Oryzias latipes: one gene and its partners. The protein of the gene in region 1 interacts with the protein of each later gene in a pairwise test. Links are inferred from orthologs where the notes say so. Each region holds a gene or a part of one and is shown in the gene's direction. Other genes may lie near its edges.

Region 1 (4,107 bases):
CACAGCAGCAGACAAAAGCTGGAGAGGGGGAACCAAGAGACGCAGGGATGACAGAGGCAAGCTGGGGTCTGAAAAAGAAAGGTGTGATGCAAAATATTGCCTATAGAGGGCAGTAATTAGCCTGTTTTTAGGCATGTTCATGCTACTACTAGAGGTGAAAAACCCCCACTCAAAAGTAGCATTACCTTACAAATAAAAAAATGATGTGCTGAATTTTAAATTTAAGATATTAAATTGTCTAAAAAAGAATTTTCTTAACCTTAACAAATGCTAAATTGGCGATGTGCCTTTCATGATCTGTTATGAAATTGAAATAAATGCTGGATTTACATCTATGTTAACGATTTAACATGGGAATATATTGACTGAAACGATTAAAATTCAACAACAATAAAAAGTACAACTGGTCTGTAAACGTAATGTATCACATAACAGAAAAAAACTACCTGTGATTTCATCAACATTAACAGTTAGCCAGTTTATACTCCACACCATTCCTTAAGTTAGTCGGGTCCCAAAGAGTATTTTCAAAGCATAAACGTGATTTACGACTACATTTATTAATCTGAATACACTTACGATTAGTTTGCTTCTTTGACCCAAAAACGTCCATTTGCATAGTCCAGCGTTAAAAGTCTGAAAATAACAGTAACTGTAAAAAAATATTTTTTATTGGTTTTTCTAGCTAACATGCGCTGTTGGGACGCAAACATCGTTTCCTCCAATGTTTTTGAGGGTTCCGCTTTCAAAATAAGAGTTTTCAGATTCAAAATCGAAAACATTGTTATGTAGTTTATGCATATTCGCAAATAAACACGAATATTTCAGTATGTATATTTTTTTATTTAAGATGGTATTGTTTTAAATGTATTATCAATAGATTATGTGCACAAGTTAAATGCCCAAAAACTAAGACGTTTCACCGCAGTGATAAAGTTGGTTGTTGACTAAACTTTATAGTATTTTAAACCAGATGTGAAATAACAGTGCTATAAAATGGAATTAGGGTTTTAAGTGTTGATATTTATTATTTAATCAATTTTAAACTTCAGATCCAATTTAATTCAATTTAATTCAATTCAATTTTATTTGTGTAGCCAAAATTCAAAACAACAGTCGTCTCAATGGGCTTTTCTACTCATTGACCTGAAAATATCCTTGTAGTTTTATTTAAATCCTCTCCATTCTTCTTGTAATTCTTTTTATTTAATTTTTTGTTTATTTTTCTATTTAGACACATTTTTTTAAAGTTTTCAAAATAAAAGCTGAAGTGTTAGGCCATTGGTGCAATATAGCGGAAGTGACAAGAGGAATAGGACGCGCTATGACGTAATTACGCAAGTCACATGAAACCTTCACTACAAACCTTTTTAATGTGCTGTTTTCTTTATTTACACCCCATGTAGACAGATTATAAACGATACTGGACGTTTGCGCGGAGTTTTAACGACCCAGCATGGACGAGGACGGTTTGCCAATCGTGGGGTCTGGAGTTGACCTCACGAAGGTTTGTGTTTTTTTTAGCTAACAGTCATGGTTCGCTTGTAGATCTCCGTGGGAATGAAAGAAGTAGCTGAAAGATTAGTCAAGTAAGACTTTATGGGATAATAAACATGATTTTAATCACATTATAATAGGATTCAATCAATATTCCCAACGATTTTGTATTTGCAGAATTATTTTTCGTGTTTTCTTTTACTTTAAAATGCATGTTTTTGTAAAGGCTGGCACTAAGCATGACTCTAAATTTCTCCAGAATCTGATAGGACTCGCTCTCATGTGTCATCGTTTTCCTGATTAAATGACTTTAAACTCCCTTCTAGGTTCCAGCTATACAGCAGAGACGAATTGTTGCCTATCTCAATCAGTTTGTTGTCCACACAGTTCGATTCCTGAACCGATTTTCCACAGTTTGTGAAGAGGTTTGTGCATCTTTTACATCGTTAAAGACCCACTTTGATGGAAATCCTGTATTTAACGTGTTTCTTGTGGGATTCATCTCAATATACTTAAGGGAATTAAGCTTACAATTGCATTTTTGAGTATTATTTAATTCAAATTGTTGTAAATCGGGAGCAGACGAAAAAATGCAGTTTGAAAAAGATTGTATTTGTGATGTAGAAAATGCGGCGGATGGGTCACAAGCTTCCTGCTCCTCTCCATGCTGATGCATCCATTTGTTGCAGACAAATAGATCCATGTATGTCTCTGTTTTCCCCGTCTGAACTGGAATCTGGCTCTAAACTGTACGGCTGGATAGCTCCAAAATTGCTCGCCATTTTTGTTGTCCTCTTAATGTCAGTTTACGGGTGTTTGAGGGGCTGTAAGCTTGGGGAGAGCATGTAAACAGATGGATGATAGGAAGTAGGGGCGGGCTTACTCTGCACCAACTGTCGAACAACAGTTTTTTTTTTGTTTTTTTTTACATTTTTGCCTAAAAAACAACATTAACATAGTTAAAAGACCAATGGAAACACATTCAATATAGATCAAAAGTTGATGATTGGGACTTTAAACTCGATTGACTTTGAATTTATCAGTGTCAAAATGTGTGAAGCCCTCATGGTGGGAACTCGATCAATCCAAAATATCAACATTTCCCCCACAGAAACTTGCAAACATATCCCTTCGCATCCAGCAGATTGATACCACCTTGTGCATTTTGGAGGCTAAGGTGAGCTGTCACACCCTTTTCAAATTGTCATGGATGTCATTTCTTTTTTTAACAAATGTTTTTGTTGTTGTTTTTTGTCTTTGTGGAGCAGTTGGCCTCCATTCCCGGGCTGGAGGAGGTCACAGTAGATGGACTGAACCAGCAGCACAGTGTGCAGACAAATGGGCCCACTCCAACCAGTCAAATCCAAACAGATGGGTCTTCAGTGGGAGCAGTTCCTTCCTCAGTGGTGAGTGTTCAGACTTGTTATAAAAAAGACACAAATATCCCAACCCCCCCTTCCCCCACAGTTTTTCACAAATTTATAGATTCAAACCTGATACATAAGGATTATGGTACATTCATATTGTGAAAGGTCGACCGATGATTTACCTTTTTACTATAGTTTTTTTTAATATATAATTATCTCTATTGATTTTCTTATTTTATTTTATGACAAACATGAAAATAATCCTAAAATAGCTTTACAAAATTTTTGTGTAATGTAGAATTCCTATGGGGTCAAATCCAGATCAACCTAAAGTGAAGGAAAAAACACAAAAAATAAAATTTAAAACTGTTTTAAACTCAAAAACAGATGTGAAAGAAATGTTGTAAATGTGAAAAGTATAATTGTAACTTTGAAAAAAAAAAAAAGATTTTAAACTTGAGAGGAATATAGAAAATTTGAAAAATAATTTTTTAAGTTGAAACTTAAAATTAAAAAGAAAAACTATAAACTTATAACTGTTACCAAATGAAAATTAACATATATTTGTAACAGCTGCTGTTTTGTATTGATGTACCAAACTTTGGGAGAGAATTATCACTACTGTTCGCCACATCAGAGGAGGGATGACACAGGCGGCGCCAACAACTACCGCTGTTGTGGAGCGGAAATGACATCATCATACCCTTTATGACCTGATGTCAATCATGTCCAGGTAGCCAATGGGCTCAAAGCCCCAGATAACAGTCAGAATTCTGAATTGATGACAAGTTTAGGTTTATGTTAAGTTGAGAATGTACTTTTATTTACTTATTTATTTTTTAAAATTTAATTTAATTAAAATAACCAAAGTGTACTTTTGAATTTAAAACTGTTCACTAATTTTCTCAATTGTTTTTAATTTTACTTTGTGGTTTTTCATTCCCTTCAAGCTGATCTCGATTTGACCCACATATTTCTCTTTTGTAGTTTTGAAATTTCCAATCTTGCTTTATTTACACAACAAATAAGGAACCAGTTAGTAATATAGACTGAATAGCAGGGATCTGGTTGCCTGTGTGCGTTACAGAAACATTCTGAGCATCTGTTTAGTGTACAGATATTATTTTCGCCATATTCATCAGGATTATAGTTTCCTTTAAAGCTGCTTTTCAACGTTTCTTCATGCTTCAGCCTCAGGAGGCACGACAAGAAGCTCCTGAGCAAAAAGCAGCAGCCGTTGCAG
Region 2 (4,123 bases), on another chromosome or scaffold:
TTAGGCAACAGTGCCAATAAAGTCCAGGTAAGAACAAACCAGGTAAATCGTCCACCAATCCACACCATGAGATAATCCAGTGCAGAGCAGTAATAACAATAAAAACAAAAAATCTAACAGTGAGCAGCAGCTACAAGACATATCAGGATGAAAGCTTCCTGATCTATCTGAGAAGCCTCCAACTACATTGACATGAACCTGAGCCAGCTTCACAATCCGCCTCAGCTGAGCATGTTTGTAGCTATTAACAACTCCAGCAGCACTCAGTAGTTCTCCGATTCCCCCCCCCCCCCCCCAGCCATAAAACTCCTCCATGTTTTCCATGAAAGGCCTAATTAACAAATGCATAATTTTTTTTTCTATCTCCTGCAGTGGAAGTCTCAGAGAAGAACTAGGGGATGAACAGATACAGGATGAAAGGTTTTGACGGAAAGGTGTAATATCTGAGTAATGCTGCAAAAAGGGGACTTTTGGGACAGTGTTCTTTAATAAAGCGTTTAAATGATACTGATAGTTGTTGATCTGATTTTCTAGTTTTTTCCTGCTTAAGAAAGTTTTTTATGCAGGAAAACATACTCTGAATGGGATATATTTTTTCTTTAGTGTTTGTATTAGTTTTAAATTTAACACAGCCCATAAACACCTTGATAAAAATCTACGATTTTAAGGTATGTACTACTGATGAAAGCATGTGTGCATCCTCTTTGTATGTTACACTTGTATTGATTTTGTGTCATATCTTGCATGTGACAAATTTGCAATTGGTCAAGAAGGGGAAAAGAGAGATGTCAGTTGTGCATTTTTTCCAAAAAAAAACATAAAACAGTATTCCATGCTTTCATTACATCCCCGTTGGATCACTGTAACAATGTATCTCAGGCAGATGGGCTCCCCTCTGGCGCCTCCAGCTGGTCTAGATAGCTGCTGCTCATTTCCACTTGAAGTTTCAGTGAAGCCACATCATCCATGTCTGTACATTTTAAAGTGTTCTTATGAGTGAACGAAAATGTCTTTTAAAAAATGTCTTATCATCTCAATTCATAAAGAACTAGTTGGTTCTTTGAGCTTATCTCTTCATCCAGTCATGACGTTTGAACTTGCGAAAGGAACCAGACTTGTCTAAACTTCTACCGCTGGGTGGGTCTACCTACTGGGGTGTTTAGCCTAACCTGGTTTAACTATGAGGATGAACCTGATGATTGCACGCGCACATGGTGGCTTTAAAACTGACTGTAAATTGATTCTTGTTTTTAAATGAACGATAATATCAGAAACACGTGAAAAAGACTTCTCGAGAATGTGTACCACCAGAGGTCGGCGGTAAGCTAGTGCGCACGCGTAGTGGCGCTTTGTGCGGTTGCCTTGGTAGCAGGAGGAGGAAGAGGCGGAACGTCTTAGTAGGACCCCTTATGAGGAGGACCGGAGCCGTGCAGAGTAACGTCAGGGGTTTATTAAGGTGAGTGTCCGTTTCCACAACCAAAGTTTAGTTTACTATTCTTTACGAATGGTTAACGGAGGCTAACAGCTGTTAATTTGTCATCTCCTACGTATTAGCTCGTTAGCTGTTAGCCGCAAAAAATCGAAGAGGGGAAAAAAAGATGGTTGAGAGGTTCATACAACGTGTACAAACACTTCTGCCAAAGTCTGAGACTGTGGAGCTCCAAGTTTAGAGGCATTTTTTGAGGTCGCCGGGACAGAAAAACTCAACGTTCTTGTTTACTCAGATCTAGTCTGAGTTTGTTGCTTATTTATTCATTTATTTTTGACGTATTTTCTTACTGTAGTGTAGAAAATCGATGCTTGTGACGTCACCCATAGATTTTTTTTTAAAGAAAACTTTATTATCTAAAATACACAAACAATGTGTGCAGATTAGTCACCAAAACAATTCTTGTGGCATGGATTACAGCTTTGAACGGCGCGATAATCATTTAACGTGGTTAAAAACATGAAGGGGGGTTGTTTAGGTGTAAATGTAGAAATTAAAATAAATAATCTTCATTCATTGAATTGGTGCTAAATGGACTAAGATTCACAATAAAGATGAAAACAATTTGTACAGTAACACTACCCCCCCCCCCCCCCCCCGAAACCAGGAAGTACCCAACACTGCAGTGCTATGAAAGACCGCTGGAGGCAGCATTTCACTAATTTTAATGTTTAAAAGTCTAGCCCAGCTCAAAAACTAAACAATGTATATTTTGTTTCTGACGCTTTTTGGATGTAGAGAGGGTATAACAGAGCCACACAATTACGCAAACTGCCACAAACACTTCATTATTATTGTTATTATTATTATTAATCAGATTAATCCATCCTGAACTCATCTGTTCAGGGGGGATGGAGGTTGGACTGCACCAAGGATCAGCTTTAATCCTTTTTGTTTGCTGTAGTGCTAGACAGACTGACAGAAGGACTGACAGGAATCTCTGTGGAGCGTGATGTCTGCAGATGACCTGTGGATCTGTAGTGAGCGCAGGGAGCAGAAGGAGGAACACTTTAGAGAGGTAAAGGTTTGTTCAGGAAAGGAGAGGAATGAAGGTTAGCTCCAGAAAGACTGAATGTGTAAATGAGAGGAACTAAAGAGGAACGGTGAGGTTACAGGGAGCAGAGGAGAAGAAGGTGGAGGACTTTAAATACATAGCTCAGAGGTGAAGAGGCGTGTGGAAGCAAATTGGAATGGGTGTAATTTGTGTGTTATTTTTATTTGCTAAAACGTTATTTTTGTAAAAGCTTTTAAGCGCAATTTTAGAGTTTTGAATTTAAATAAACATCTGTTTATGCGGTTTCGGAATGTTGGACAGACATCTTCATTCCTCCATTTGTTTCTGAAAACTTTTAACACTGACTGAAGGTCTGTTCATAAGCTTCCAAGTACATAATACTATGGTAAATTATATTATTTTGTCCTACTGGACTGGACTAAAGTAATGCAGTTGCGGAATTTATCTGTTGTGTTAAAGAAATAGACAAGCCAAAATGCAAAGCTTTCAAATTACTTCTCAATCTTTGTCCTGTAAGGCAGTAATTGTATCTTTCTAAACTCCTGCTGGTTGTTAACAGTCCATAACTGGACTTGTGGCTGACGCTAGACATCACTGGACTGTATCAGCATGTTTGGTAACTCTGGTACGGTCAGTAAAGTATTATGGTGAATGGAAGAAACGGTAAGCATCAGTCCCAAGTCCTTCAGTGTCCGTTACATCCAAAAGGATAAAGTCAAATCTAGCCTACATACATTCATCCATATGTGAAACAACTCTTTATAATAATTTTTTCATTTTAAAAGATGTTTTTTTTCTTTTTAGACTTTATAAAGAGTGTTTATCATTGTGGATCAAACTCCTGCGTCTGTCAGGTGGTTAAACTGGTGCTGAGTGTTTGAGGAGTTTTGGAAATAACACAATATTTGACCCACAGGAGACTCCATGGCTAAAGATCCGTTGGCTGAAGCTGGCTTCCACTTTGACGAGGTAAACAAGCTGCGGGTTCTAGAGCCAGATGTGAGCCAGAGCACGGCGGAGCTGAAGGAGGAGTGCAGAGAGTTTGTGGACAGTAAGAATCCACGGATCTGTTGTCCACCCCGTCCCACCCAAAGCTCCTATAGGTCTGTGTCTCTGCAGAGATCGGACAATTCCAGAAGATTGTGGGCGGTCTCATCAGCACAGTGGACGGGTTGGCCAAGGAGGCGGAGACTGAAAAGATGAAGGTGAGGCTCCCCTCTTCTCAGGTTAGGTCAAAACCTACAGTTCATCAGTGTTGGCAGTTATAGTTACCCAGTACTTAATCCTATAAGTAATAGATTTAACCAGTTGAATTATTCTATAATAAAAGTAACCAATTTTAGCAGGAAAAAACTATTTACTTCACATTAAAGAAAAACTGTTTTTTGTAGATTTTTTGGACCAGTTTTAACAATTCAATTGGAATGAGTAAAATAGACCCAAACTTTTATTTAACATTATTTACATTGGAGGAACTCCAACACCTTCTGGTAAGCTGCCCAGTTTCCTCCTGACAGACATGTTGTGGTGGAAAAGCTGCTGGAGCTGCGTTTGATTTACTGTTTTTAGTTTATGTCAAACATTCAGTAACCCGATCAAACAAAAACTGCTCCTCATTG
Region 3 (4,004 bases), on another chromosome or scaffold:
GCGGTTCTGTGAGGAACCGGGCCGTTCCAGTCCAGCGGCAAGGACCCCTGAAGGGGAGCGAACACAAATCTCAAAATGATCTCATTGTCTTCCGTCCTCCACTCTGTTGGTGTCCTTTTGAAAATCTAAAGCCATGCTTGGCTCAGTCAAGTGATGTCTATGCTGCAAATGTTTACAGTGCTGTTTGTAAGATACTTTGACAAACGGACCGGTCCCGGTGGATTCTCTGCTCTGGTCGGCTGTCTTTGACTCATATTTATTTTCTCTTTTCTTGTTTATATATAATATATAGTTCATGTTTTTTTTTCCATTTGCTCTAAATTACCCATCTTATACTGTGACCCGACTCGACTTTACCGACTGTAAGAATGAGAGACTAACACACTTCAGCTGAACACGACACACAAACATGAACACACAAACAGGAAACTGCAACATGCTGTAAAATGTAAAGAAAATATATGGAATTTAAAATGTTCCGAGAAAATACTGTACAAAACAAATAAAGTTATGTTGCAACCCTTTCAAGCTGGTTGGTTTCATTTCTCAGTCGTGTAAGTCTGTTCCCTTTGAACCTAAATACGGTTCAGGATTTATTACGCCTTTATTTTTACCCTGTAGTCTGTGGAGGAGGCGTCTGGATGAAAGTTCATTCCACACTTAGGATCATCTTCAGATTCTGACGGGTCTACAGAAACACTCAGGAAGCCTCAACAAGCTCACTTCTGTCTGTCCTGATTGGACAAAAGGAGTTCTTCTGTCAAACTACTGCTTTATTTAGTTTATAATTCAGAAAAAAGACAACGCAGCTATGAAAAAGCCTGCCCCTTTTCTATATGAAAATATAAATCTAATTTGATTATTTACAGGTAAACATGATTTAAAAATGTATACTTTGGATTTTTCCTCTGGTTTATTTGTTTAAATATTTCCAAAATTCAGTTTTACAAAAAAGTACATTATTTAAACGCGGAAATAGTTGAAAAAATATACATTTAAAATGTGCTCACTCTTGGGGGTGAATTTTATGCATCACTTAAAGTTAGTTTAATTTGTGAATACATTTGATTAGAAATGCTTCCATCTCATAACTGAGTTTATGTTTTAACAAATAGTTGTAGATTGTTCAACGTCTGAGGTTTGAGGCTTTGTTTCATTATTCCTGCACTTCCTTCCTTCATCCAGCAGGTGGCGCCAAACTGCAACAGCGACATGAATCTGACGCGGAGAAGAAGAATCTAAAGTTATGAGCGGAAGTTAGCTTCAGTCTCACGCTGAGATCGAAACCTGAAATTCTGAGACATATAAACAGTTTCTTCCCGCAGTCTTCAGGTAGGCACCTCGGCATTACCTACCGGCGTGTGGTAGAAACCTATATACAGGTAATCTGTCTGTCTACGGCCATGTCGCTACCGGGCTAAGGCGGACAGGTATATTAACTAACGACGCCAGCCCAGAGTCATCATCAGATCATCATGTTCGTTTAGAAACATCATGTAGCAGCTAAATATGCTAATTTAGCCTAAAACTGGAGAGATCCTCTCAGGAAATCGGTGTCATACGAAGCTGTCGCTGCGTAAGATTTCAGTTTCACAACCAAAAAACCAGAACATTCATGTTTTCCCCAAATGACAATTTGTACACTTTGTTAATCTGCCGAACCTTTGTGCGCAGGCGCAGTGGGGTGGTGGGGTTAAGGTGAGCCAAAGAGCGCGCGTGTGTTTACAGCGAGTTTAAACTCAAATGAATTTGGACTTTTAATCTGCTTTTCTTGAGTCCAGCTGCAGATTCTGCGGAACTTTAGTGAACATGGCCGTGTGTCAGAACCAAATCCATGGAGAACAAAGAAAGGATCTAACAACACTGGACACGTAGTGACGTACGCTGGCGATGTTCCCTGTGCCGTGGACAGTCAGTTTTGGTTTTAGAAAAGCATTGTGGAAACTGGAATCTGTATAATCAAAGCCTCATTTGGAATCAGCGGTCAGCAGTGACACCTGGTTGTGGGTTTGAATCCAGCACGCTGCCTCTGGACGTTTACCTGACCCCCCCATCATGAGTGCCTGGCTGAACTGCTGTCTGATCTGCAGATGTGGTTCTCAGTAAAAGAAGGTTGTTGATTTGAGTTCCGTCTTCATGACACAAAAACAGGTTTAAAGTCCAGTTATGGGAAACGACGACGTGAATGTTTAGGTTTATGCTAAAACTGTGATTTCCTGCATCTCACCGCCCCTCACCAGCCATCTTTGTCCTCTTCAATCTTTCAGCAGACATGAAGAAAGAAGACACGGAGGAGTCTGCCAGCCCGGCCTTTGAGGCAGCTGCACCCCCACCTGCAGATCCGGAGGCAGCTGCTAAAGGCAGTCCGGCCTCAACGAGTCCTGAGACTGATACCCCACCACAAAGCCAAGGGGGAGGAGGTAAGCGGTGCCCTGCGAGGAAGAGCATTTGATGAAGAGTTATCCACGCTGAGCATTCACTGAGTAAGACTGTGTTCTCCTGGGAGGCTGAAGTTTGGAGGTTATCAGAGAAAGGCGCCGTGGTGCAGGTGCCGCGGTGCAGACGCAGCTGTGCAGTCGACCCGATGCAGTTGCTGCTGTGCAGACGCCATTGTGCAGTCGCCCCGGTGCAGTTGCTGCTGTGCAGACGCAGCTGTGCAGATGCCGCCGTGCAGTGGTCATGAATGTAGTCTCATGCTGCTGCCTGATCAAAGTCTCAGATACCCGTCTCAGCACTGACAGATCAACCTGATGATGTCACACTAAAACACATGATCATTGGTTGGAATAATCAGAATCAGGACAATTATCGTTACACCTGTATGTCCATCACAACATTTCTGTAAGAACTTCAAAAAGAGAAATGATCTGAAATGTGTTCAGACGCAGAGGCTGCCATGTCTCAGTCCGATATGGCAGACGAGCTGAGCCGGCAGCTGGAGGACATCCTCAGCACCTACTGCCGGGAGTCAGAAGACGCTGGTGCCTTGCTCAATGGCCAGTCGCACAGCCTGGTGCTGAACGGGCTGAACTGTGAGAAGGAACACGAGAAGTCTGAGGACAGCAAAGTCAACGGCGGTCACAAGTCAGAGAAGGAGCAGAAGAAGACTCAGGAGAAAAAAAAAGTCAAAGGTTTGGGTGAGGACAAGATGACGTTGTCTGTTTTCAAACAGTTCTGTTCTTCTAAAGATGGCTCTGACGCTACTTCTGGTTTTCTTCTAAAGGGAAGGAGATCACCCTTCTGATGCAGACGCTGAACACCCTCAGCACTCCGGAGGAGAAGCTCACCGGCCTCTGCAAGAAGTACGCTGAACTGGTAAGCCGCTTCTCCAGATCTATGTGACCCCAAACAAACCCGCGGCTGCTGGAATCAAACCCACGGCTGCCGGAATCAAACCCACGGCTGTTGGAATCAAACCCACGGCTGTTGGAATCAAACCCACGGCTGCTGGAATCAAACCCGCCGCTGCTGGAATCAAACCCGCGGCTGCTGGAATCAAACCCGCGGCTGCTGGAATCAAACCCACGGCTGCCGGAATCAAACCCGCGGCTGCCGGAATCAAACCCGCGGCTGCCGGAATCAAACCCGCGGCTGCCGGAATCAAACCCGCGGCTGCCGGAATCAAACCCGCGGCTGCCGGAATCAAACCCGCGGCTGCCGGAATCAAACCCGCGGCTGCCGGAATCAAACCCGCGGCTGCCGGAATCAAACCCGCGGCTGCCGGAATCAAACCCGCGGCTGCCGGAATCAAACCCGCGGCTGCCGGAATCAAACCCGCGGCTGCCGGAATCAAACCCGCGGCTGCCGGAATCAAACCCGCGGCTGCCGGAATCAAACCCGCGGCTGCCGGAATCAAACCCGCGGCTGCCGGAATCAAACCCGCGGCTGCCGGAATCAAACCCGCGGCTGCTGGAATCAAACCCACGGCTGCCGGAATCAAACCCGCGGCTGCCGGAATCAAACCCACGGCTGCCGGAATCAAACCCGCGGCTGCTTCTAAAGCT
Region 4 (2,419 bases), on another chromosome or scaffold:
ATTCCAGCTGAGCCAGAGGATGCAGAGGAGGTCACCGCCGCCAAAGAGGCAGACGGCCGCAAGGACCAGAAACTGGAGAAGAAAATGCTGAAAAATCTAGGTGTTTTCTTCGTCGTGTTGGATTCAGCCTATTTGACTAAAGAAATGCTGTTAGTGCAGTGTGTGTGTAGGTGGAATAGTATTTGCTAAAAGGAAGACTACATCCTCTGCTTTAATTCTCACCATTTGGTTCTAAAAGGTTCTAACGGTCAGAACCAGGTCAAAGAGCAAACTTCCATCCATACCTTCATTTTCTACACTGGCTACTTCCTGTTTAGTTGCTGGTCTGTCCAGCTGCTATCGGGTTCACCCGGTCAGTTCGCCGGTCCACCACAGCGCCGCCAAAACACCCGCCGTGTAAAGATTCTGTTTTCTGAAGGAATTTCCGTTCAATGGGCTGAACTTGAAGTTCAAACGTTAATGGTTGACCTCACAGAAGCTTTAGGGAGCTTCGGGTCCAGAACAGGCCCAGATAACCAGACTTCCACCACTGTGCTTAACAGTTGTCTGGAGGTTTTTCCGTTTAACGATCTCCTAGTCCAGTTTTTTGTCATTGACAGAGCTGTGAATTATGACCAAACATCTCCATGGTTCACATCCTGGTCAGATATTGTTTTGGACCTCAGCACCACCATATGAGCCGCTGTTAGGTGGTCCACTTCAGTCCCAAGAGCTCTACAGACCAGAGCAGACCGAACCAGACTTTACCTGCATTTTCCCGCCTTTTAACCCTTGTGCTATCTTATGGGGTCCAGATGACCCCACCCTTACATTGACGTGTTCTCCCTACCATAACAAAGGTGGAGAGGATTTCATGGACACCAGTGAAGATCACAAATCATTGAAGAAAAAAGGTTCAGTGCACTGTCTAGTGGGTCTAGATGACCCAACTCCCATCGTTAACGTGCCTCGGACAGCACAAGGGTTAAACCAAGTCTGCCCCTCTCTTAGGGGGATGGAGACCTCAACGGAATTGGAATAGAGACGAAAAGGTTAATCTCACATAACTCATGTTCTGCGAGTGTCGCGCCAGAGTCACGCGTTTGCAATTAAGGAACCGCAACTCCATTTGAGTTTATGTATCCTTGGCGCAACAGCGAGCTCCCGTGATTTTAAGTAGAAACTGAAACCAACGTTTGTATTTCCAACTTGCAGCAGTTGAAATAGAAGTTTTTTTATCAGAACAACACTGCTCTGGTCTGTAGAGCTCTCGGGACTGAAGTGGACCACCTAACAGCGGTTCATATGGTGGTGCTGAGGTCAACGGAGGTACTTGGAGTTTGAGATGTTCCTCTGAGTCAAATAAACCCAGGACAGTTGACAAATGTCCTCCTCTCTTCCACTGCAGAATGATTCTCCTGGTGTTGTTGGGTCAAATAACCCTAACATTGTGTGTTTGTTCAGGGAAGGAAGCCATGCTGCTCATGCAGAGTCTGAACAAACTGGATTCTCCTGAACAGAAGCTGGAGGCCATCATAAAGAAGCACGCTGAGCTGGTGAGGAAGGTTGACCCCGGTGAGGGCTGACGCCAACACACACGCTAACATGCTAACCTGTCTGCAGCTGGAGGAGCACCGCAGTGACCAGAAGCAGCTGAAGCTTCTGCAGAAGAAACTTCTCCAGGTGCTGAAGGAGAAGGACCAGCTGCAGGGCGAGCACAGCCGGGCCGTGCTGGCTCGCAGCAAACTGGAAGGGCTCTGCAGGGAGCTGCAGAGACACAACAAGACTCTGAAGGTAAACCGGCCGGGGGGGTCCAGTCTCTGCTCAAGAGCCGTCAGAGGAGCAAGACGCCGACGGTCATTCGAGATCTCCAACAGGGAGTAGGAGGAGATATTTTACAGCTTCAACTTCCTGAATCCTCAACTAAACCAGAAAAACAACCAGACAGACAGAAGAGAAAAGATAGAATTTAAAACAAAGACATTGAAATCAATCCTCAAATTATGAAATCAGTGTTTGATTGATCCACTGATGTTAAATGAGGTGATCTCTAAGATACTAAAACAAAATATTAAAACAATGTTTTTCTATGTTTTTAAGGTTCAAGAAGGAAACTTTCTGCTTCTGTAAGGCCCAAAAGGAAAACATTTGATCTGATTTCCTTTGATTTCTAATGACAGAATAAAGCCGTTGACTAATCAGAAGGAAAAAGGTGCTCAAAAAGGACCAGGTAGAAGAAAAGCCGTATAAATCCTTCCCCAATCTTAAAAAAACAACTTTAAAACTTTCAAAAGAAGTCCCAGAAATAATCATAAAAAACATTTGATGCCATAAAAGAAATAATGAAAAATCCTGACGTTGTAGAAAATATAAACTATACTTAAGCAGAATACAGTTATAATAATTAAAAAATACTCAGAGGGGAGGTTCAGCTGTCGGT
Region 5 (4,210 bases), on another chromosome or scaffold:
TCAGAATCACATTCAAAAACCTTTAAAAAAGCAATGGTCCACAGAATAATTGCAAATCATTTGGATTATTTTATTTTTAACGCTTAGCTTAGAGTGTGTACCTTTCTTCTGACATGGTTCAAACACATCTCCATACGTGGTCCATGAGTTTAAAATATCAAAGGTTTAACCAGCTTTGTGGCGATGCGATACAGTCCAATTTTATCATAAACTTTTTTACTAAAATGGAAACAATCCACGTCTGTTATTGCACTATAAATGAAATGCGTCTTAACAGAGAAACTCCTTGATTTTATTTTTAAGTAACAAAAAAAGAGTCTAAAGGACATAAGTGCTTTAAAAGAGTCAAACCTGACATTTCGGGTCTTTCAGACGGTCTTGTCCGTTGATGTCATATCAAAGTCTGTCATTACTTTACTAAAGCATGTTCGCAGTGCCGTGAAAAAAGGGTTATCATGTGTTTAGTGAACATAAACCTCACTGTGGTTCACCTTCTGCCAATTAGGATTGGTAAAAACACGCGTGTGATTGAACATGTTTGTTTGCATCACACATACATGCACAGACAGTAGAGACACAACAGGAAGACAAAGGTTACCAGAGACTGATTATTTACTTCTGGGTCAATTTGATCCCTTTGTACCCAACAATCTTGTCAGTTTCTGTTGTTTCTAACCACTCTTAGTATTGATTTGTTTAAATACATATCTTATCACTTAGATGCCGACCTACTATTCAAATTCAATTTACCGGTCTCTATAAGAGAAAAGGGATTGTCTGACTTGTTTGTTTTATTCTACAAAATAACTTGAAACCAACTTGATTTCAGTAAATGTGGACAGAAAAGTGAGGTGTGAGCTTTCTTCTGTCACAGCAATGATTTCTAGAAGAAAAGACGGCTGTGGCGTTCCTGTACATTCATGAGTTGGTTTATATTGGGGCAATATCTTGGTTGTTTAGCTCTAAATGACCCTAAATGGGAATGAGGGATGGATGGAATTACAGTGAGGGAGGTTCTGACTCCCTCAGAGGACTCCTGTGTGTTGAGTTCCCACTAAAAAGCTTTATTACGGTTCAGGAAAATCAACGTTCTACTTAAACATTACAGTTTAATAAAAGGCCGAGAAGTGTTCTCATGGAAAAGGATGTCTGCTTCTTCTTCTGCTTCTTCTTCTTCTTTTCGCTGACTGATCCTGTCATTTTCTGACCCTGTGGGTTTCAGATGATTGACATGATGACAGAAGTGTCTGCAGAGGAGAAATCGGAGTGCAGGGGTTCTCCACGGGGGTAAGTCCCACAGTCAAATATAGTTCTGCAGACGTGTCAGTCCCGGGCTGGACCGGGACCTGCTCCCACCCGCCTATATATACATGTGGAGGGAAGGAAGGGCCCCCACGCCACGGCGCGCGCTTTCAACCAAACCCACCAAGAAGAAGAAGAAGAAGAAGAAGAAGAAGAAGAAGAAGCTCGGCCTTCACCTGCCGTTTTCACCTGGATGCGTCAATCACGCTGGCCTGCATGTCGTTCTCCGTGACACCACGTGACCGTCTGATTGGCCCGTCAGTGGTTTGGGGGCGGGCGCTCCCAGGCGTTTGCTGAAATCCCATTGGAGGACAGCATTCAAGGTTGATGTGACGCAGCTTGGAATTCCCAAAGTTTTCGAGTTCTCTGGAGGAGAAATCTGTTCTCCTTTGGCAGAAAAGACCCAGGAAAAGGTTCTGCAGAGCTCTGGTCCACAGGAGCAGGTAGGACCGGGTCGGCCCGGGTTGACAGCGCCGCTCCGGGCTCGGAGGAGGAGGGGGGGATTAGCGCGTGTTTGTGAGGCGCGGGGCTGAGCGGGGACACGGAAGTGCGGGATTGGGAGTTTTTGGGCTCCTTTGTTTATCTCCGGGAGTGAAGGTTCAGACCGGTGCAGGTTCTCCAGGGAACCCCGGTGGACAGGTGAGGATGGCGTTCTGCGCGCTCTCGATCAGCGCGTTCTCGCTCCGGTCGATAACGGTTTATTGGATGAATGGATCATGAGACAGAATGATCGATTACAGATTTATTGGAAGAAGTCCAGATGTCTGCAATGTTCCGCTGCGCAGCAGCTTCATACCATGTTGCGTAACGACCACCGGCCGCTTATCCGCGGTGCGCAGAGCAGCTTAGCGCCGGTTACGTAACGGCTTAGAACCCCGCGCACGCTCCGCCGTCCGCTACCGTCGCGTCTGGAGCGGCAACCGTGAAGTCCCACAAGGCATCTCGGCTCTGGTATGTTAAACTGAAGGCTGCTGTTGTCATGCGCAGAACATCCGAAAAGCCAACCAGCCTCCTGCTGTACCGATTCTGGCCTGAAGGGGGCGATGTCGGACAGCAGCAACAGCACCGGCAGCAGCGGCTCCTCAACCAACAGCTGGACCCTCCTCTCTCCCGAGGTGAGCAGGGGCGGAGTCGCGATGACGTCACCTCAGGTTCATGGCAGTACTTTTTTTTTTTTTTTTGCTTTATTGAACACAATACAAAACAACACAAGAACATTTACATAAAATTAACAAAATATGGCGAATACAAGAAATAATACTGCAATTTGAAAGGAAGCAAAAAAACAAAACAAAAATTCTTATCAGTATGCATATATAAACCTGTCCATAGTCATAATCATAGAGAAATTAGGGAAAAGTATAACATAAGGAAACAAGAATTCCAGAGTTGGATTATGTTATAATAAAATGCAGGGGGGTACAACAGATAAATAAATGGTCTCGAATATTGGGAATTTATCAATATCTACTATGATGATCAGCCAGTAACCGTGTTCATCTGCTATATGGGACACAATTTTGTCTTGGAAGTTTTGGAGAAGTACAGCGACCCCTACTGATCTGGAATTGCCATGACGGAGGAAACCTTGTCCCCCCCCATTGCTGACACCAAAATGATTTATCTGCATTTGTAGAGTGCGTTTCTTGTAAAAAAAAATCAAAATCAACATTTTTCCCTTTACAAAATAAAAAAAAAACAAAAAACAAATAAACTTTTTCTCTTTGTTAGATCTCTCAGACCTCTTGCATTTAAATAAAGTAAAGAAATACCTGTTTTAAGGTGCAACATGTAACAAAAAGGCAAACTTAACAGACCTAAATGAGGCTGAAAGTATTACTGAACAAAAACTTTTAAGCAACAAAACCTTGAATTTACAATAACCATCTTAACTAAATAAATTGCAAGACTAACTAAAGTCATGGAATGACTCTCTGACCATTAATGAAAGCATAAGGACCACGAAACATTGTCTTACAACCATTCTTTCTCGCCTGCTCAACTTTGGGCCACACCGCTTTCCTTGCCTCTCTGTCTTCTTTGATGAGGTCTTCTGCAAAGCGGATGTTGAGGTCTGGACAGACTGGATGGTGTTTAGTCATTCGCCACAGTTCGTCTCTGTATCTCCTTCCTGTGAACTGAATGATGATTTGACGAGGGCGGTTGACGTCGGTTGGGCCCAGCCGGTGTACCGTGTCCAGAATGTTGTCCACTTTCTCTGTCCAGGGTGGTGCGATCTTTGTGATGAGATCTGCCACAATTCCTCCAGTGTCTTCCCCTTTCTCTTCTTTACCGCCATTTAGTCTCAAGTTCCATCTTCTCTTGTATCTTTCCGATTCCAATGTTTTCTTTTCCATCTCTGATGTTCTCTGCTCCAACTCCACAGTTTTCTCTTTCAGACGTTTCACTTCTTCTTCCAACTTTTTATTTCTGTCTTTACATTCTTTGATTTCAGCAGAGTTTAATTCCACAGCCTTGGCTATGGTGGATATAGTCAGAGTGTTTTGCTGCAGCTCCGACTTAAAGTCCATCATCATGCCTTTGAGGCTTTCAATTGCAGCCAAGATTGCGGCGTTTGAGGCTTCTCCTGGTCTGAGAGAGCGGGTTGCATCTGGTCTTAGCTTGTTTTGTGGCGCAGCTGGCTTCAAAGGTGATGCCACGCTGTTTTTTGTCCCCTTAGCATTTGTTTCCATGTCCTCAGGCGTGCAGTAGTCATGTGGAAACAGCATTTTAGCTCTAGCATTAGCTGTAGCTTTAGCATTGGGTTTAGTAGCCATGCTCGTATAGTTATTGGGCCTGTTAGGCAATCTTCAGTTGGCTCCTAAACTTGCTTTGTTTTATCTTGATATCCAGTGGAGAGTCGGTTTTGTAACTATTCCGTCCTAAAGTAACATTTTCAAGGTTATGT
Region 6 (4,270 bases), on another chromosome or scaffold:
AATCCAATGTGCGTTACAAGATCATCTCCACATTGAATCAGGTTTGGAACTCACACACACATGACGGAAAAAAGAAATATTCAACACTGACATTCCTACACAGCAGAAATGTGGCTCTCTAAGGGAGGGGTCTGCCAGTCTGCAGATAAGTTTAAACTGCAGACAGCATCTCGTCTTACTAACAGTTTCACTGCAGCTGCTGTGGACACCGATAGTTGAGTTACACAGATGACCTGCCTGCTTTCAAAACACCCTTAAAGCTTTAGCTCCATACAGCGTACCCAGGGACTTTCTCCCTTGTGTTGTGCCTACAAAAGCATGAGGTGCGCATGCCAAGAAAATACAGGGAGGTTACAAAGGAGGTGGGAACATTTTTTTAAAGTATAACTTGACAAAGATTTCATTCAGAAAATCGTGCCAAACTCAGCTAAGACGTCACCACTGCTGTAACTTAAGCAGCGCTTAATTTTGAAAAGACAAGAACAGCAGCAAGACATTAAACACCAAACCTCAGCATTATGGCAGGAGTTTGAAGAGCAAAAGTCACGTCTAAGTTACATATAAAGCTCAGTAATTGTTTGCTTCTGATAAAAAAAGTTACAGGTTATAATCAGTTAGACTAGGCACAAGCCTGGAGGAAGTTAAAACCCGTTCTAAGGGAACCTTTGCACAATTTATTCAGTACTGTGAGGCTTCTGCTATTTCCTTTTGTTTATGTGTTGAAAGTAAACACTAACAATGGAAGCTGAAATGTACCGAAGCTTCTTAAAAGAGGAAACTCAATGTTATGTAAGCGGAGCATATTTTCACGGGGTAGGGCCAGCAGTGCCTGCTTCTTCATGTCACTCAGGACTTCCACACACATCCATGCCGGAGCTGCTGCTCCTTTGGGACAAACTCAATACAGCTGCAGTCTCGTTAAAAAAAATAAAACTTCAAGAATGATGCATAAAAACCACGTGGTAAGCCTGAGTTTAAAGCAACCGTGAAGTTTCAGCCTATTGCACGCGTGCGTAAATCTGAACTTTACGCAAACAGCCGCATTTCTGATGCACAACAGCACCGTCAGTTTTCTGCTTTACTCACCGATCGCCTTCAGTCCAACAGAACTTTGCCGTCTCCCGCAGTGAATTCGGCGTGAAAACCCGCCGAGTTATCCCGCAGCTCCAACTTTCAAATCCCAACTCGCTGAGGAGGAGGAGAGACGTGTGCGCGCATCCCCACACACACACGGCTGCGCATAAACACACACAGGTCTAGAATTTCCGCTTCAATCTTACAGCTTCATGTTTTTCTTTTCATCTAAACATAAGAACGTCAACTGATTTTTCAAATGTGTTATTATTTTATAAATATACATACAACCTAATGTTTGTCGTCAATCCACAGCATTATTTGTATCGAAGGGTTCTGCAAATTCACCGATCTCAGCCCATGAGCAAATCTCGCGAGACTTGCCGTGTTGTGGCACAGCTGACTCTCCCGTGGGTGGTACAGGCGAGCAGAACCTTGAGGCTAAATAATCGAATATAAAGCGCCTTAAATTTAACCGCCGTGAAGGTCCGGACATACAGTTTTATTCACACCATGGCTGAAACAGATCCCAAATCAGTGCAGGACCTTACTAACGTGGTGAGTTTGGACCGTCAAGCTAGCTAGGACTAGCTATATGGATGTAGCTAGCAATGCTAACTATACTGCTAACAAATCAAATGCAGGTTGCATCTAAAGGAGTATTAAGTTTGATTCCTTTTTGCCTTTTCCCCCTTTGTTTTACCACTTGACACCTAAATTCTGATCGATCTCACTAAATATTTATTAGTTTATCACCATATAAAAGACATTGTTAGCTGATTAGCACTTCATCCTGACTAATTTAATTTACATAAATCTTCTTTAATCAGCATTTTCAATAACAAGTATATGAATTTACATTTTTATTGTAATAATAATAATCAGCAGTTCTCGCAACACCCAGGTTACTTCTGTTGGTGTGGATACCAATAGTGTTGCCATGGAAATGAACCAAAACTAAAGGTCTAAGTTGCACCTCTACCTACTAAATCACAGACTGTATTCGATTCTTCTGAAACATTAGGTGTTGATTAGTGTGTTGACTGGAAGATGAAGGTCTTAGCTCCTTTTTAGTGGTTTTTCTCTCACATGCAGCTATGTCCAGAGTGGGGTATGTGAGGAGGGGACTGAGAGGGCGGGAAGCGCTTTTGGGCCGCTCACAGCTTGATCTTGTACTGTTTCTTGTTGGGTTTGACAGATTAAAGTTTGTGGCCTTCTTTTGTTTTTCTAAAGGTCCAGACGCTCCTGCAGCAAATGCAAGACAAGTTCCAGACAATGTCAGACCAGATCATCGGGAGGAATATCCTTTTTTGAAAGCCAGAGCTCTGATGGTCGTCTTTACATTTCTCATACTCTACATCAAATGTCCCGGTGTCTTTTTCTACAGGACTCCAGTTTGCTTAGAAAAAAAAAAGATTTGCCTTAACAGTGTCCACTTGATGAGATGAGCACACGAATCGATGACCTGGAGAAAAACATTGCTGACCTGATGACCCAGGCTGGTGTGGAGGAGGCCGAGGCGACACCAGAGAAGCCGAAGGAGAGCCAAGGATCATCATGAAGGTGAAGAAAAACGGTCTACCCCTGTAGAATTTCTTTGTTCTGGTAGATTTCCTAATCAGCTTTATTTTCTGTCTGTCCCACAGGGTCAGAAATGATGTGAAGTCAAAGTTCTTTACCGATGACTTCTGATTTGGTGTGAAATGCTTTTTTTAAATATATATATATATAAAATGGTTTAACGGTTTACAGTTATGTCATGATGTGAGAAGTGGAGTAGTAGTAATCTGAATTAGTGTGACCTGCCCTTCAGAATTGTGTATTTGGTGCCCTGACCTGGACGTTCGAGCCGCCAGCGTCGGTTCTTCTCTCCGGTCCGTGCTTGGTAACGGGCCAGCAGAACCTCATCCCAACACGATGAACCGCGAACACCCGGAGCTCGCAGCGCAGCACTGTTGGCAACGAGATGCAGAATGCATTCCATTTCTGATTTTCTATTAAAGCGATGTACGGAGCAGTTTCTCCTTTTTGACCAGGTGCTGATAAATAGACCACGGTGCTAAGAGTTTCTACATTTTCTCTTATGAGGCAGAGTCGTCTGATGCCACAGACCTTTCATAACTACTGAATTCATCCGATCTGCAGGTTCAATGCTCTTTGTTGTTCATGAATTTGTTGGATTCTGACGTGAAATGAGCAGAATTGGAAATGTGCCACTTAACGAGTGTATAACTAAGATTTTGCCAAATTGAATGATTAAAACATCCCTTATTTTACCGCATGGTAGGAACCTTTATTCAAGTGTATGCAAACAAAATGTAACAGACCGTCTTCAAACCAAAAGTAGCAGTAAACATCCATTAAAGTGCAGCTTGATTATTGAACTGCAGTAGTAGAACCTCAGCACTTCATAAACATCCCCTCAATACAATATTCATTTACTCTACATGGGATAAAGCAAAAGGTCCCTGAGCTGCCACTTGGTGTGAGTTTATACGTCTGTGGAAGTTCAGTTTCAGAACTCGAAGTCGTCCTCCGTCATGTCGATGGCCCAGGCGAACTTTTCCCGTTGGGTTTTGTTGTAGATTTTTTCTATAGGCACCTCCATGTTCTTACACCTGATTAAAAACAAGAACAGAAAAGCGTTCAACCACAAACAACTGAGTATTACAACTGCAGAAGAAAAGTCTTAAACATACAATGGGGTGAAGAGAAACCTTGAGTTTATCGTCCTGAACGTTTTTCAAGCCAAACTTCACCAAATCGTTGCAGAAGAAGCATTTCTCATCTCTGGTTTAGCACCAAACCCCACTTTCCTTTGGTACAAGCAGCATTTCTATGAATTCTGAAGTCTTGGAACAATTGGCTGATCTCTATAGAAATCAGGTCGGTCACATGGTGAAACGTCAGATCAGTAAACTGGAGGATCTGTTGTCTGAATGAGATCAAGTGACCACAGATCCTAAGAGCCCAGAATCAAAGTTAACGGATGGAATCTGGACATTTCAACACTGCAGCCTAAACCAGAAACTTAACAAAATGTGTTCTTTACAATAAAAATCTATTAAAACATTTCTGTTTTTGGGTGTGTGTACGAGCTGGATTCGCAGTAAAATAAGGGTTTGAGTGACGGGGCTGTTCTGCCCACTCAGACGTTTCTGAGGATCGCTGACGACCATCAGACCGAGCTGGAGGT

The links.
Region 2: the proteins of washc3 (region 1) and ift20 interact in binary tests that used the Homo sapiens proteins (3 or more experiments, as listed by UniProt). The two-hybrid records come from large-scale screens. The link is inferred for Oryzias latipes from reciprocal best matches to the Homo sapiens genes WASHC3 and IFT20.
Region 3: the proteins of washc3 (region 1) and txlna interact in binary tests that used the Homo sapiens proteins (3 or more experiments, as listed by UniProt). The two-hybrid records come from large-scale screens. The link is inferred for Oryzias latipes from reciprocal best matches to the Homo sapiens genes WASHC3 and TXLNA.
Region 4: the proteins of washc3 (region 1) and beta-taxilin interact in binary tests that used the Homo sapiens proteins (3 or more experiments, as listed by UniProt). The two-hybrid records come from large-scale screens. The link is inferred for Oryzias latipes from reciprocal best matches to the Homo sapiens genes WASHC3 and TXLNB.
Region 5: the proteins of washc3 (region 1) and pre-B-cell leukemia transcription factor-interacting protein 1 interact in binary tests that used the Homo sapiens proteins (3 or more experiments, as listed by UniProt). The two-hybrid records come from large-scale screens. The link is inferred for Oryzias latipes from reciprocal best matches to the Homo sapiens genes WASHC3 and PBXIP1.
Region 6: the proteins of washc3 (region 1) and hsbp1 interact in binary tests that used the Homo sapiens proteins (3 or more experiments, as listed by UniProt). The two-hybrid records come from large-scale screens. The link is inferred for Oryzias latipes from reciprocal best matches to the Homo sapiens genes WASHC3 and HSBP1.

What each region holds. Positions count from the first base shown.
Region 1 is NC_019881.2:17,521,068-17,525,174, forward strand, and holds the start of washc3 (WASH complex subunit 3), read left to right. Parts: upstream 1-1,307; 5' UTR 1,308-1,456; coding exon 1,457-1,507; intron 1,508-1,823; coding exon 1,824-1,922; intron 1,923-2,608; coding exon 2,609-2,674; intron 2,675-2,765; coding exon 2,766-2,903; intron 2,904-4,055; coding exon 4,056-4,107. Other genes in the region: zinc finger protein 252, read right to left, coding at 1-68, 580-619. UniProt on the Homo sapiens protein: Acts as a component of the WASH core complex that functions as a nucleation-promoting factor (NPF) at the surface of endosomes, where it recruits and activates the Arp2/3 complex to induce actin polymerization, playing a key role in the fission of tubules that serve as transport intermediates during endosome sorting.
Region 2 is NC_019871.2:17,867,205-17,871,327, forward strand, and holds the start of ift20 (intraflagellar transport protein 20 homolog), read left to right. Parts: upstream 1-1,323; 5' UTR 1,324-1,456; intron 1,457-2,393; exon of another isoform or gene 2,394-2,507; intron 2,508-3,420; 5' UTR 3,421-3,428; coding exon 3,429-3,555; intron 3,556-3,623; coding exon 3,624-3,709; intron 3,710-4,123. UniProt on the Homo sapiens protein: Part of intraflagellar transport (IFT) particles involved in ciliary process assembly. May play a role in the trafficking of ciliary membrane proteins from the Golgi complex to the cilium.
Region 3 is NC_019869.2:26,633,968-26,637,971, forward strand, and holds the start of txlna (alpha-taxilin), read left to right. Parts: upstream 1-1,204; 5' UTR 1,205-1,332; intron 1,333-1,365; exon of another isoform or gene 1,366-1,382; intron 1,383-2,267; 5' UTR 2,268-2,272; coding exon 2,273-2,420; intron 2,421-2,882; coding exon 2,883-3,137; intron 3,138-3,223; coding exon 3,224-3,315; intron 3,316-4,004. UniProt on the Homo sapiens protein: May be involved in intracellular vesicle traffic and potentially in calcium-dependent exocytosis in neuroendocrine cells.
Region 4 is NC_019880.2:1,123,869-1,126,287, forward strand, and holds part of beta-taxilin, read left to right. Parts: coding exon 1-100; intron 101-1,443; coding exon 1,444-1,535; intron 1,536-1,602; coding exon 1,603-1,773; intron 1,774-2,419. UniProt on the Homo sapiens protein: Promotes motor nerve regeneration. May be involved in intracellular vesicle traffic.
Region 5 is NC_019869.2:891,970-896,179, reverse strand, and holds the start of pre-B-cell leukemia transcription factor-interacting protein 1, read left to right. Parts: upstream 1-1,410; 5' UTR 1,411-1,745; intron 1,746-1,776; exon of another isoform or gene 1,777-1,941; intron 1,942-2,289; 5' UTR 2,290-2,345; coding exon 2,346-2,417; intron 2,418-4,210. UniProt on the Homo sapiens protein: Regulator of pre-B-cell leukemia transcription factors (BPXs) function. Inhibits the binding of PBX1-HOX complex to DNA and blocks the transcriptional activity of E2A-PBX1.
Region 6 is NC_019864.2:28,979,185-28,983,454, reverse strand, and holds hsbp1 (heat shock factor-binding protein 1), read left to right. Parts: upstream 1-1,470; 5' UTR 1,471-1,587; coding exon 1,588-1,632; intron 1,633-2,307; coding exon 2,308-2,374; intron 2,375-2,510; coding exon 2,511-2,635; 3' UTR 2,636-2,637; intron 2,638-2,720; 3' UTR 2,721-3,589; coding exon of another isoform or gene 3,590-3,692; 3' UTR 3,693-4,146; downstream 4,147-4,270. Other genes in the region: DNA topoisomerase I, mitochondrial, read right to left, coding at 3,590-3,692. UniProt on the Homo sapiens protein: Negative regulator of the heat shock response. Negatively affects HSF1 DNA-binding activity. May have a role in the suppression of the activation of the stress response during the aging process.